Linked DNA regions of Anolis sagrei. The protein of the gene in region 3 interacts with the protein of the main gene of each other region in a pairwise test. Links are inferred from orthologs where the notes say so. Each region holds a gene or a part of one and is shown on either strand. Other genes may lie near its edges.

Region 1 (3,750 bases), on a different chromosome or scaffold from region 3:
CAGTTGCTCTACTTAAGCACTTAAGAACGGAAAACGAAACGTTGGTGGACAGGAAAAGAGATTTAAAGATGGGCTCAAAGCCAACCTTAAAAACTCTGGCATAGACACTGAGAACTGGGAAGCCCTGGCCCTTGAGCGCTCCAGCTGGAGGACAGCTGTGACCAGCAGTGCTGCAGAATTTGAGGAGGCACGAGTGGAGGGTGAAATAGTGAAATGTGCCAGGAGGAAGGCGCGTCAAGCCAACCCCGACCGGGACCACCTTCCACCTGGAAACCAATGCCCTCACTGCAGAAGAAGATGCAGAGCAAGAATAGGGCTCCACAGCCACATACGGACCCACAAGGAAATCCATAATGGAAGACCATCTTACTCGTCCAACGAGGGATCGCCTAAGTAAGTAAGTAATTGGCAATCTGGTCTCTGGTTCCTCTGCCTTTTCTAAACCCAGCTTGAACATCTGGCAACTCTCGCTCCATGTGTTGCTGGAGTCTTCCTTGCAGGATCTTCAGCATTACCTTACTGGCATGAGAAATAAGGGCCACTGTACGGAAGTTTGATGCTAGCGGGGTACAAATAAAGATAATAATAATAATAATAATAATAATGACTCTCTGCCCCGGAGTGTGGCGGAGGCTCTTTCTTTGGAGGCTTTTAAGCAGAGGCTGGATGGCCACCTGTCGGGGGTGCGTTGAATGCGATTTTCCTGCTTCTTGGCAGGGGGTTGGATTGCATGGCCTCTTTCAACTCTTATGATTCCTCCTCCGCCCTGCTCCTTTCTTAATGCCCTCCCCGCCCACTTCCAGAGCGAAGGGTCCCTTCAGTGTGGCTGAGACTAGAGGTCTGAAAGGCCAGGGCGCGCGCTCCCGCGAGGCCCTCCTTCGGTGTGCGCGCGCCCCCGAGTCCCAGCCGGGCTTGGTTCTCCGTCCGTCCCTCGGCGCGCGCACTTGCCCGCGCGCCCAGCCAGCCAGCCAGCCAACCATCCATCCAGCCAGCCAGAAGGGATTCCTGGCCGCGTTCCAGGTCGGCGCACTAATACAAGCTCCGAGGCTCCCGCCTGACTGACGCCGGCTGGAGGCTGCTTGCTTGCTTGCTTGCCTGCCTGCCTGCCTCGTTGCTTGCGGCCGCTTCTTCTTCGTCTTCTTCCTCCTCCTCCTCCTCTTGCGGGGCGATTTCGTAGCCGCGTCCCTCCTTCCAGTTGGCCAAGGGAGGGGGCAAAAAGGGGAGCCGCTCTTGCAGAAATTGCCGCAGCCCTACGGACAGAATCGCCCTCCGGACAGGTAGGACAGAGGGGGCTGGGGAATGGGTATTATTATTATTCTGTGAATGCAAAACAATACAAGAATTGGCACGGATCCTTTTCCTTTCCTTTCTGTCGCACCTTCCTGCTCTCTCAACTTTGCAAACTTTTTTTTTCTCTCCCTTTGGCACCGCGTCTCAGGCATCTTCCAGGAAGGTGCGAAGCTGTGAAGCGGACCCTCGGGAGGACTGTGTGTTTGGCAGCCGCTGCCCCGGGATTCCTTGGAAGGGGCTTCCCCTCGCCTTGCATTGCGTGGCTCACCCAAACCCCGGAGGCAGGCTGTCCCAGGGGGGAAAAAAGTAGACACCTTTGAACAGCTAATAGGAACTCTGGGGTTTAGTTGAAGGCTAAGGAAAGGCATGCATATGGAAGGAGGAATGTTAGAGGAGGGATTGCATCAGGGCTACGAATGGAATCGTCAACTACAGGTGTCTGAATTGTCCTTCTGCAGCAAGGCACTGGCTTGCATTGTCCAGAGTCCAGGCTTGGGCCAACTTGTTCCCTCCTTCCTGGTATTTTGGACTTCAACTCCCACCATTCCTAACAGCCTCAGGCCCCTTCCTTTCCCCCCTCAGCCGCTTAAGCGGCTGAGGGGGAAAGGAAGGGGCCTGAAGCTGTTAGGAATGGTGGGAGTTGAAGTCCAAAACACCAGGAAGGAGGGGCCAAGTTTGCCATTGCCCTATCCAGACTCTGAGTTGCAAACCTCTCTTCAAACTACCTGGTCATTTTCCCACACTTTCCTACCATTGGAATCCTTCATGTATTCTTTGTTGTCCAAGGCTTTCATGGCTGGAATCACTGGGTTGCTGTGAGTTTTCCGACCTGTCTGACCATGCTACAGAAGCGTTCTCTCCTGACGTTTCGCAGGCATCCTTTGAGGTTGCGAGGTCTGTTGGAAAGTAAGCAAGTTAAGTTTCTATATCTGTGGAATGTCCCAGATGGGAGAAAGAACTGTTGTCTGCTTGAGGCAGGTGTGAACGTTGCAGTTGGCCAACTTTATTAGTTTTGAATGGCCTTGGGTAATTGTATGATAGCTGGGTCCACCTGCTACGAGTGTTACGCTGTTTCCGCTCCACTCCTTGGAAACTATTGTTGGTGCAACGCAGAACACAACACATGACCGAGACAGGGGCGGAGTGAGAGACTGAGGTAATGTAAGCCAGGCCGGACACAGATATTATAGAAGGAATGTAAGAGTCTTTTAATGGTAAAACCCATACCCAAATGCTAAACCTTACCCTAAGCTTAACCCCAAATCCTAAACCTAACCTTAAACTGGAATGTGTCCAGAGGAGGGCGACTAAAATGATCAAGGGTCTGGAGAACAAGCCCTATGAGGAGCGGCTTAAGGAGCTGGGCATGTTTAGCCTGAAGAAGAGAAGGCTGAGAGGAGATATGATAGCTATGTATAAATATGTGAGAGGAGCCACAGGGAGGAGGGAGCAAGCTTGTTTTCTGCTTCCTTGGAGACTAGGACGCAAAACAATGGCTTCAAACTACAAGAAAGGAGATTCCATCTGAACATGAGGAAAAACTTCCAGACTGTGAGAGCCATTCAGCAGTGGAACTCTCTGCCCCAGAGTGTGGCTTCTTCTTTGGAAGTTTTTAAACAGAGGCTGGATGGCCATCTGTCAGGGGTGATTTGAATGCAATATTCCTGCTTCTTGGCAGGGGTTGGACTGGATGGCCCATGAGGTCTCTTCCAACTCTTTGATTCTATGATTCTATGAAACCTAACCCTAAACCTTACTCTAACCCTAAACCTTATCCTAACCCTCCCTTCCTTTCTATCCTTCCACCAAATGCAACTACGAAATATATTCCCGCCCTCACTGTGGCGCTCTCCCCGCTCTCATTCCGCCCCTCTCTCAACCATGTGATCCCTTTCCTTATTCACAACCACCTTTACAGCATCTGCATAATGCTCGTAGCAGGCGGACCCAGCTATCTTACTATCGGCTATCCTTACAGCTGGGCTGTACAGGCCAATGCAAATTCCACCACATTTGTTTATTTATAAATAAATAAGTAAATGTGGTGGCTCCCAAACATGAATCAAGGCACAGCAGACTAACTCAACCAGAGAAGTCAGCCATAGCAGAGCACCTGATGAACCAACCTGGACATAGCATATTATTTGAGAACACAGAAATGCTGGACCACTGTAACAACTACCATGTCAGAGAAGCCAATGAAATCCACATTTATTTATTTATCTATTGTATCTGGAGCGAACCAAGGGTACAGTTGTGATGTATGCATTTAAAAACACAAAATTTAAAATCTTGGCATTCTATTAAATGCCAAGTAGCTGGTCACTTGGAGTGCCTCTGGTGTTGCTCTAAACTCAATTTTTCATATGGCAGGGCTCAGAATGCATTGTAATAGGTGGTTTGTAGTTTGCTCTTCTCCACACTCACATGTCATGGGCTCCATCTTGTGGCCCCATTTCT
Region 2 (3,750 bases), on a different chromosome or scaffold from region 3:
CGCTCCTCATAGGGCTTGTTCTCCAGACCCTTGATCATTTTAGTCGCCCTCCTCTGGACACATTCCAGCTTGTAGAAATCTTCGTGAGTCTCCGAAATCTTCGTGAAATCTTCGTCATCTCTCTTCAATTGTGGTGCCCAGAATTGGACACAATATTCCAGGTGTGGTCTAACCAAAGCAGAATAGAGGGGTAGCATTACTTCCCTAGATCTAGACACTATGCTCTTATTGATGCAGGCCAAAATCCCACTGGCTTTTTTTGCCGCCACATCACATTGTTGGCTCATGTTTAACTTGTTGTCCACGGGGACTCCAAGATCTTTTTCACACATACTGCTCTTGAGCCAGGCATTGTCCCCCATTCTATATCTTTGCATTTTGTTTTTCCTGCCAAAGTGCAGTATCTTGCATTTTTCACTGTTGAACTTCATTTTGTTAGTTTTGGCCCATCTCTCTAGTCTGTCAAGATCGTTTTGAGTCACTTAAATGGGTCACTTTGGGAACCATTGCTGTCCAAGACTGTTACAACAGTTTTGGGTATGTGGATATATACCACCGAAGACAAAATTTTACTCAAACGGGTTTTTGGCTCTTTGGAAGAGCATACTTGTACGAAAGATTATGATTTTCAAATGGTTGTGAATGCCATTTGTTTCCCAAAAGGTTATGGAGATTTTGGTTTTTCAAAATATCCTGTGCCAGCAATGTCCCTCTGCAGTTTGCATTGGACAAACACTTCCATCCTAGGCCTCCTCCAACTAGCTATTTGGGCCTCCAACTCCCAGAATTCCTAACCATTGAAGAAGCTGGCGAGGGCTTCTGGGAGTTGGAGACCCACACTGCAGGAGAAGGCCTGCTCTATATGCAGGAAGGGAATGGACACAAATCAGGCGGTAGAACTGGAGAGGGAGGGAGTGAGGGGGAGGCGTCCCGATTCCTATCCTTCTCTCCCTGAGGCCGTGATAAGGCTCACATAAGGTATAACTATTTACTTCATTGACTGCCGACTCCTAGACTGTTACACGTCCGCCATTCCCATTCCCAGAGAAGGCCTCAACACCGGAAGCGGAACATATTTTCCCTTTTCCGCTTCCCGCTCTCGCTCGCTCTGTTTTCGGGGCAGGAGAGGCAAGCCGAGCAGCGTCATGCGCATGCGCAGTTCTTTTTTCTCCACTGCCATCTTGCCCGAAGAGGAGGAGGAGGAGGAGGAGGAGGCCGCCCTGAGGGTGAGTGCAGAGCTCCTCCTCAGACTTCTTCGGGAAGGGCCCGAAGTTGCTCCGGGAGGGGAAGGAAGGGCAAGGCAGGGCTGCCATGGCGGCTTTTGGGACAAGGCTCAACCCCCCCCCCCCCGGCCTGAGGACATTCAAACAAGGCTCTAATTGTGTTGTCGAAGGCTTTTATGGTCGAAAACACTGGGTTGCTGTGAGCTTTTTCGGGTTGTATGGCCATGTTCCTGTAGCATTCTCTCCTGACGTTTCGCCTGCATCTGTGGCAGGCATCCTCAGATGTTCTGTTGATGGTGAGGCAAGTGGAATGTCTATACTTCCTGACTGTGAGAGCCGTTCAGCAGTGGAACTCTCTGCCCCAGAGTGTGGTAAAGGCTCCTTCTTTGGAAGTTTTGAAACAGAGGCTGGATGGCCATCTGTCGGGGGTGCTTTGAATGCATTTTTCCTGCTTCTTGGCAGGGGGTTGGACTGGCTGGCCCATGAGGTCTCTTCCAACTATATGATTCTATCTCTCAGAGATGCGCCCAGCTCTGTTCAACATCTTTATTAATGTATTGTCGAAGGCTTTCATGGCCGGAATCACTGGGTTGTTGTAGGTTTTTTCGGGGTATATGGCCATGGTCTAGAGGCATTCTCTCCTGACGTTTCGCCTGCATCTATGGCAAGCATCCTCAGAGGTAGTGAGGTCTGTTGGAACTAGGAAAAAGGGTTTATATATCTGTGGAATGACCAGGGTGGGACAAAGGACTCTTGTCTGCTGGAGCTAGGTGTGAATGTTTCAACTGACCACCTTGATTAGCATTTGATGGCCTGACAGTGCCTAGAGCAAACTTTGTTGAGAAGTAATTAGATGTCCTTGTTTGTTTCCTCTCTGTTGTTGTGCTGTTGTAATTTTAGAGTTTTAATACTGGTAGCCAGATTTTGTTCATTTTCATGGTTTCCTCCTTTCTGTTGAAATTGTCCACATGCTTATGTATTTCAATGGCTTCTCTGTGTAGCCTGACGTGGTGGTTGTGAGAGTGGTCCAGCATTTCTGTGTTCTCAAATAAAATGCTGTGTCCAGGTTGGTTCATCAGGTGGATTTATGAGGAAACACAACATACAAACTATCTACAGACCCACCAAAAAATCCAACAAATGCTACGTTCAGTAAAGGACAAGAGGGATCCTCTCACTTCTGCAGGAGTCTACCGTGTACCATGTAGCTGTGGACAAGTCTACATAGGGACCACCAAACACAGCATTGCCCAAACACGAATCAAGGAACATGAAAGGCACTGCAGACTACTTCATCCAGAGAAGTCAGCCATAGCAGAGCACCTGATGAAAAACATGAAATGCAAAGCTACAGGATGTGTGACGCTTAGTTCAAGAACAGTCCATGTGAGACAGATCTTGGAGTCTTCGTGGACAACAAGTTGAACATGAACCAACAAAGCCAATGGGATTTTGGGCTACATCAAAAGGAATCTAGTGTCTAGATTGAGGAAAGTCATGATGCCTTTGTATTCTGCTTTGGTTAGACCTCAGTTGGAATACTGTCTCCAATTCTGGGCACCACTATTGTTGTTGCTGTTGCTGTTGTTGTTGTTGTTATTATTATTATATTTATTTCTATCCCGCTTTTCTCCTGCGATGGTACTCAAAGAGGCATAAAGCATGTAAAATCAAGACAATTACAAACAAAAAATACAAACATGAACTCCAACTAATGAGAAATTAACAATTTAAGACATTAAAACATTAAACTCCCATTACCTATGACAGCTAGCATAAAACTAGCATAGCAACATAAATTAAAAACATACCAGTTAAACCCATGTAATGTCCTATTAATTTATGCCATGAAACAAACCAGTTACTGACGGTCTACTATATAGTTGACATATTGCACATCAGAATGCCTGTCAATCTACTGGTCTTCGTTGGGGAGACCAGTAGAAATAACTGGTCTCCCCAACTTGCTTCCGAAATAACAGCAGTGAGGGGGCTGTACTAACCATTTTTGGGAGGGAGTTCCAGAACTGCGGGGCCACCATTGAAAAGGCTCTCTCTTATTCTCACCAGCCGTGCTTGAGATGATGGTGGGACCGAGAATAGGGCCTCTCCTGATTACCTTAGGGCTCATATGGGCTCATAGGAGGAGATGCAGTCCAATAAGTACGCTGGGCCCCAACTGTTTAGGGCTTTATAGATTAAAGCCAGCACCTTGAATTGCGTCCACAAACAAACTGGCAGCCAGTGTAGTTGTTTTAGGAGAGGGGTAGTTCTTTCCCTATACTCTGCTCCTGTGAGCAATCTGGCAGCTGACCTTTGCACCAGTTGAAGTTTCTGAACGCCCCTCTAGCACAGACCTACCTAGAGTGCGATACAGTAATCTAAAATGGATGTGACTAAGGTGTGTATCACCATGGTCAGTTCCACCATGGCCACTTCAAAAGCAATATTGACAAGCTGGAAGGTGTCCAGAGGAGGGCCTCTAAAATGATCAAAGTTCTTGAGATTGTAAGTATCTGTGAGGAGC
Region 3 (3,750 bases):
AACAACAACACACTGAGGAATTAATGCAGTTTGATACCACTTATAATTGCCAAGGCTCAATGCTATGCAATCCTGCATACTTTTCGGCAGAGATAACTGAAGATAACAGTTCCTATGGTTCTACAGCATTGGCAGTTAAAGTAGTTCCAAACTGCATTAATTCCATCGCGTAGATGCCGCCAACCATAACAACACAGATCAGTTCCATCTAACCCAGGGGGCATCTACACTGTAGAGTTAATGCAGTTTGGTACCACTTTAACTGTGAGGAATCAGTTTGGTGAGGCACCAGCACTCCTTGGCAGAAAAGGCTAAAGAATGACCTTGTAAATTCTACAATACCCATAACTCCATAGTATTGTCATGGCAGTTAAAGTGGTATCAAACTGCTTTAATTCTACAGTGTAGATGCATTCTGGAAGCCAGGAAATGAGAAAGCAGGAGTCCCTAGCTGGCTATACTTCAAATCTCTCACTGAACAGGAAGGCATTTGTTGCCTATCATGGCTGATATATCTATATAAATAAAAATTGTAATGTTCGTTTGTGGGATTAACATAACTCAAAAACCACTGGACGAATTGACACCAAATTTGGACACAAGATACCTATCAGGCCAACGAGTGACAATCACTCAAAAAATTGATTTTGTCATTTGGGAGTTGTAGTTGCTGGGCTTTATAGTTAACCTACAATCAAAGAGCATTCTGAACTCCACCAATGAGGGAATTGAACCAAACGTGGCACACAGGACTCCCATGATCAACAGAAAACACTAGAAGGTTTTGATGAGCATTGACCTTGAATTTGGGAGTTGTAGTTCACCTCCATCCAGCGAGCACTGTGGACTCAAACAATGATGGATCTGGACCAAACTTGGCACGAATATTCCATATGCCCAAATGTGAGCACAGATGGAGTTTGGGGAAAAGAGAACTTGACATTTGGGATTTGTAGTTACTGGGATTTATAGTTCACCTACAATCAAAGAGCATTCTGAACCCCACGAATGACAGAATTGGGGCAAACTTCCCACACAGAACCCCCATGACCAACAGAAAATACTTATGGCCATCCAGTCCAACTCCCTTCACCAGGGCAAGAAAAAATAATCAAAGCCCTCCTGACAAAGAGCCATCCAGCTATAGATATATATATGATTCACAGAGAGAGATATAGTATCATAGATTTGAAAGGAACCCCTAAAGAAGGACAATTCTATGTTGCATGTTCCAGGGTGGGCAAACCAGATAATCTCCACATCAACACTGACAAAGAAACAGCAAGAAATACTAGGTTCTTGTGGGTTTTTTTCGGGCTATATGGCCACGTTCTAGAGGCATTTTCTCCTGACATTTCGCCTGCATCTATGGCAAGCATCCTCAGAGGTAGTGAGGTCTGTTGGAGTTTGGAACATGGGTTTATATTTCTGTGGAATGACTGGGGTTGGACAAAGAGCTCTTCTCTGCTGGAGCTAGGTGTGAATGTTTCAACTGACCGTCTTCATTAGCATTTGAAGGCCTGGCTGAGCCTGGGGGAATCAAAATCTGGCTACCAGTATTTAAAAAAACTAAAATTACAACAGCAAAACAGCAGAGAGGAAACAACCAGGCACATCTTAACACCTCTCAACAAAAGATTCCCCCAGGCTCAGCTAGGCCTTCAAATGCTCATTGGTCAGTTGAAACATGACCAGTCAGTTGAAACATGACCAAGGTGGTCAGTTGAAACATTCACACCTAGCTCCAGCAGAGAAGAGCACTTTGCCCCACCCCAGTCATTCCACAGATATATAAATAAACCCATTTTCCAAACTCCAACAGACCTCACTACCTCTGAGGATGCTTGCCATAGATGCAGGCGAAACGTCAGGAGAAAATGCCTCTAGAACATGGCCATATAGCCCGAAAAAACCCACAAGAACCTAGTGATTCCAGCCATGAAAGCCTTCGACAATACAGCAAAAATACTGTTTATCCACAAGTATAAATAAATTACATATATTAGGAACCAACACTTTCTCATTACTTTATTTTCCAGATCACCAGACTGGGCCACAGCAACGCATGGCAGGGGACAGCTAGTTATTATTATTATTATTATTATTATTATTACTCTATCATTACTACAACTATTATTATGATGATTATTATTATAATTTCTACTACAACTACTATCATCATCATCATCATTACTTTGATCTATATGCCGCTTTTGCTCTCTTAACTAAACTCAAAACGCCTAACAGTGATTTTGAAAAGTATTCTATACAATTCCAATGTAAACACAACTCACCCAGGCTTTCCCACTGCAGCCAGTTCCAACCCGCTAATGCACAGACTGGCTCAGAGAATGCACTCTCTTCCTACCGCAAGGGGATTGGTTGTTTTTCCCCAGGGGGGCGTGGCGTAGGTAGGTAGAACGCCGGTTCCTCGTATTTGATTGGCTGGTTCGCAGCTTGGGCCCATCCTACCGCAGTGGGTCTTGGCAGAGGCGATCATATGACCCTCTTTCTCAATTTTTCAAAGGCGCGCATGATCTCCTCGGGTTGGGAAGGATCGCACGTGACAGAAGGGAAGAAAAGAAAAAAGAGGGGTCAGGCCAGGCATTAAACCCGGAAGTGGTAACCGAGAAGGGTGTCTCTGAGTGCATGCAGAGGGCAGGGAAAATGGCTTGGTTTTGTTTTTTTAAATCACACTTTCCAGAATCCTTGTCAACATTGTGGTAATTGTAGTCCCCCCCCCCCCCCAAAAGTCACTTTCCAGGCTACACTGTGGAATTAATTCGGTTTGACACCACTTTAATGCTGTGGAATCATAGGATTATTGTTTTCTAGTACTCTAATAAGGCTCCAAATTGGCCTAAAACAGAGGGAGGCTAAAATGATCAAGGGTCTGGAGAACAAGCCCTATGAGGAGCGGCTTAAGGAGCTCAGCATGTTTAGCCCTATTCTGCCTTGGTTAGACCACATCTGGAATATTGTGTTCAATTCTGGGCACCACAAATGAAGAGGGGTGTTGACAAGCTGGAATGTGTCCAGAGGAGGGTAACTAAAGTGATCAAGGGTCTGGAGAACAAGCCCTATAAGGAGCGGCTTAAAGAGCTCAGCATGTTTAGCCCTCTTCTGCCTTGGTTCGACCACACCTGGAATATTGTGTCCTATCCTGGGCACCACAATTGAAGAGGGGTGTTGACAAGCTGGAATGTGACTAAAATGATCAAGGGTCTGGAGAACAAGCCCTATGAGAAGCGGCTTAAAGAGCTGGGCATGTTTAGCCCTGTTCTGCCTTGGTTGGACCACACCTGGAATATTGTGTCCAATCCTGGGCACCACAATTGAAGAGGGGTGTTGACAAGCTGGAATGTGTCCAGAGGAGGGCAACTAAAATGATCAAGGGTCTGGAGAACAAGCCCTATGAGGAGCGGCTTAAAGAGCTAGGCATGTTTAGCCCTATTCTGCCTTGGTTAGACCACACCTGGAATATTGTGTCCAATTCTGGGCACCACAATTGAAGTGGGATGACAAGCTGGAACGTGTCAAGAGGAGGGCGGCTAAAAATGATCAAGGGTCTGGAGGACAAGCCCTATGAGGAGCGGCTTAAAGAGCTCAGCATGTTTAGCCCTGTTCTGCCTTGGTTAGACCACACCTGGAATATTGTGTCCAATTCTGGGCACCACAATTGAAGAGGGGTGTTGAGGGTGACTAAAATGATCAAGGGTCTGGAGAACAAGCCCTATGAGGAGCGGCTTA

What was found.
Region 1: the proteins of GRN (region 3) and SMAD9 interact in binary tests that used the Homo sapiens proteins (3 or more experiments, as listed by UniProt). The link is inferred for Anolis sagrei from reciprocal best matches to the Homo sapiens genes GRN and SMAD9.
Region 2: the proteins of GRN (region 3) and PRKAB2 interact in binary tests that used the Homo sapiens proteins (3 or more experiments, as listed by UniProt). The link is inferred for Anolis sagrei from reciprocal best matches to the Homo sapiens genes GRN and PRKAB2.

The regions. Positions count from the first base shown.
Region 1 is NC_090023.1:35,686,700-35,690,449, reverse strand, and holds the start of SMAD9 (mothers against decapentaplegic homolog 9), read left to right. Parts: upstream 1-984; 5' UTR 985-1,277; intron 1,278-3,750. UniProt on the Homo sapiens protein: Transcriptional modulator activated by BMP (bone morphogenetic proteins) type 1 receptor kinase. SMAD9 is a receptor-regulated SMAD (R-SMAD).
Region 2 is NC_090024.1:132,489,384-132,493,133, reverse strand, and holds the start of PRKAB2 (5'-AMP-activated protein kinase subunit beta-2), read left to right. Parts: upstream 1-1,116; 5' UTR 1,117-1,226; intron 1,227-1,394; exon of another isoform or gene 1,395-1,519; intron 1,520-3,750. UniProt on the Homo sapiens protein: Non-catalytic subunit of AMP-activated protein kinase (AMPK), an energy sensor protein kinase that plays a key role in regulating cellular energy metabolism.
Region 3 is NC_090026.1:47,778,995-47,782,744, forward strand, and holds the start of GRN (progranulin), read right to left. Parts: upstream 2,377-3,750; 5' UTR 2,295-2,376; intron 1-2,294. UniProt on the Homo sapiens protein: Secreted protein that acts as a key regulator of lysosomal function and as a growth factor involved in inflammation, wound healing and cell proliferation. Regulates protein trafficking to lysosomes, and also the activity of lysosomal enzymes.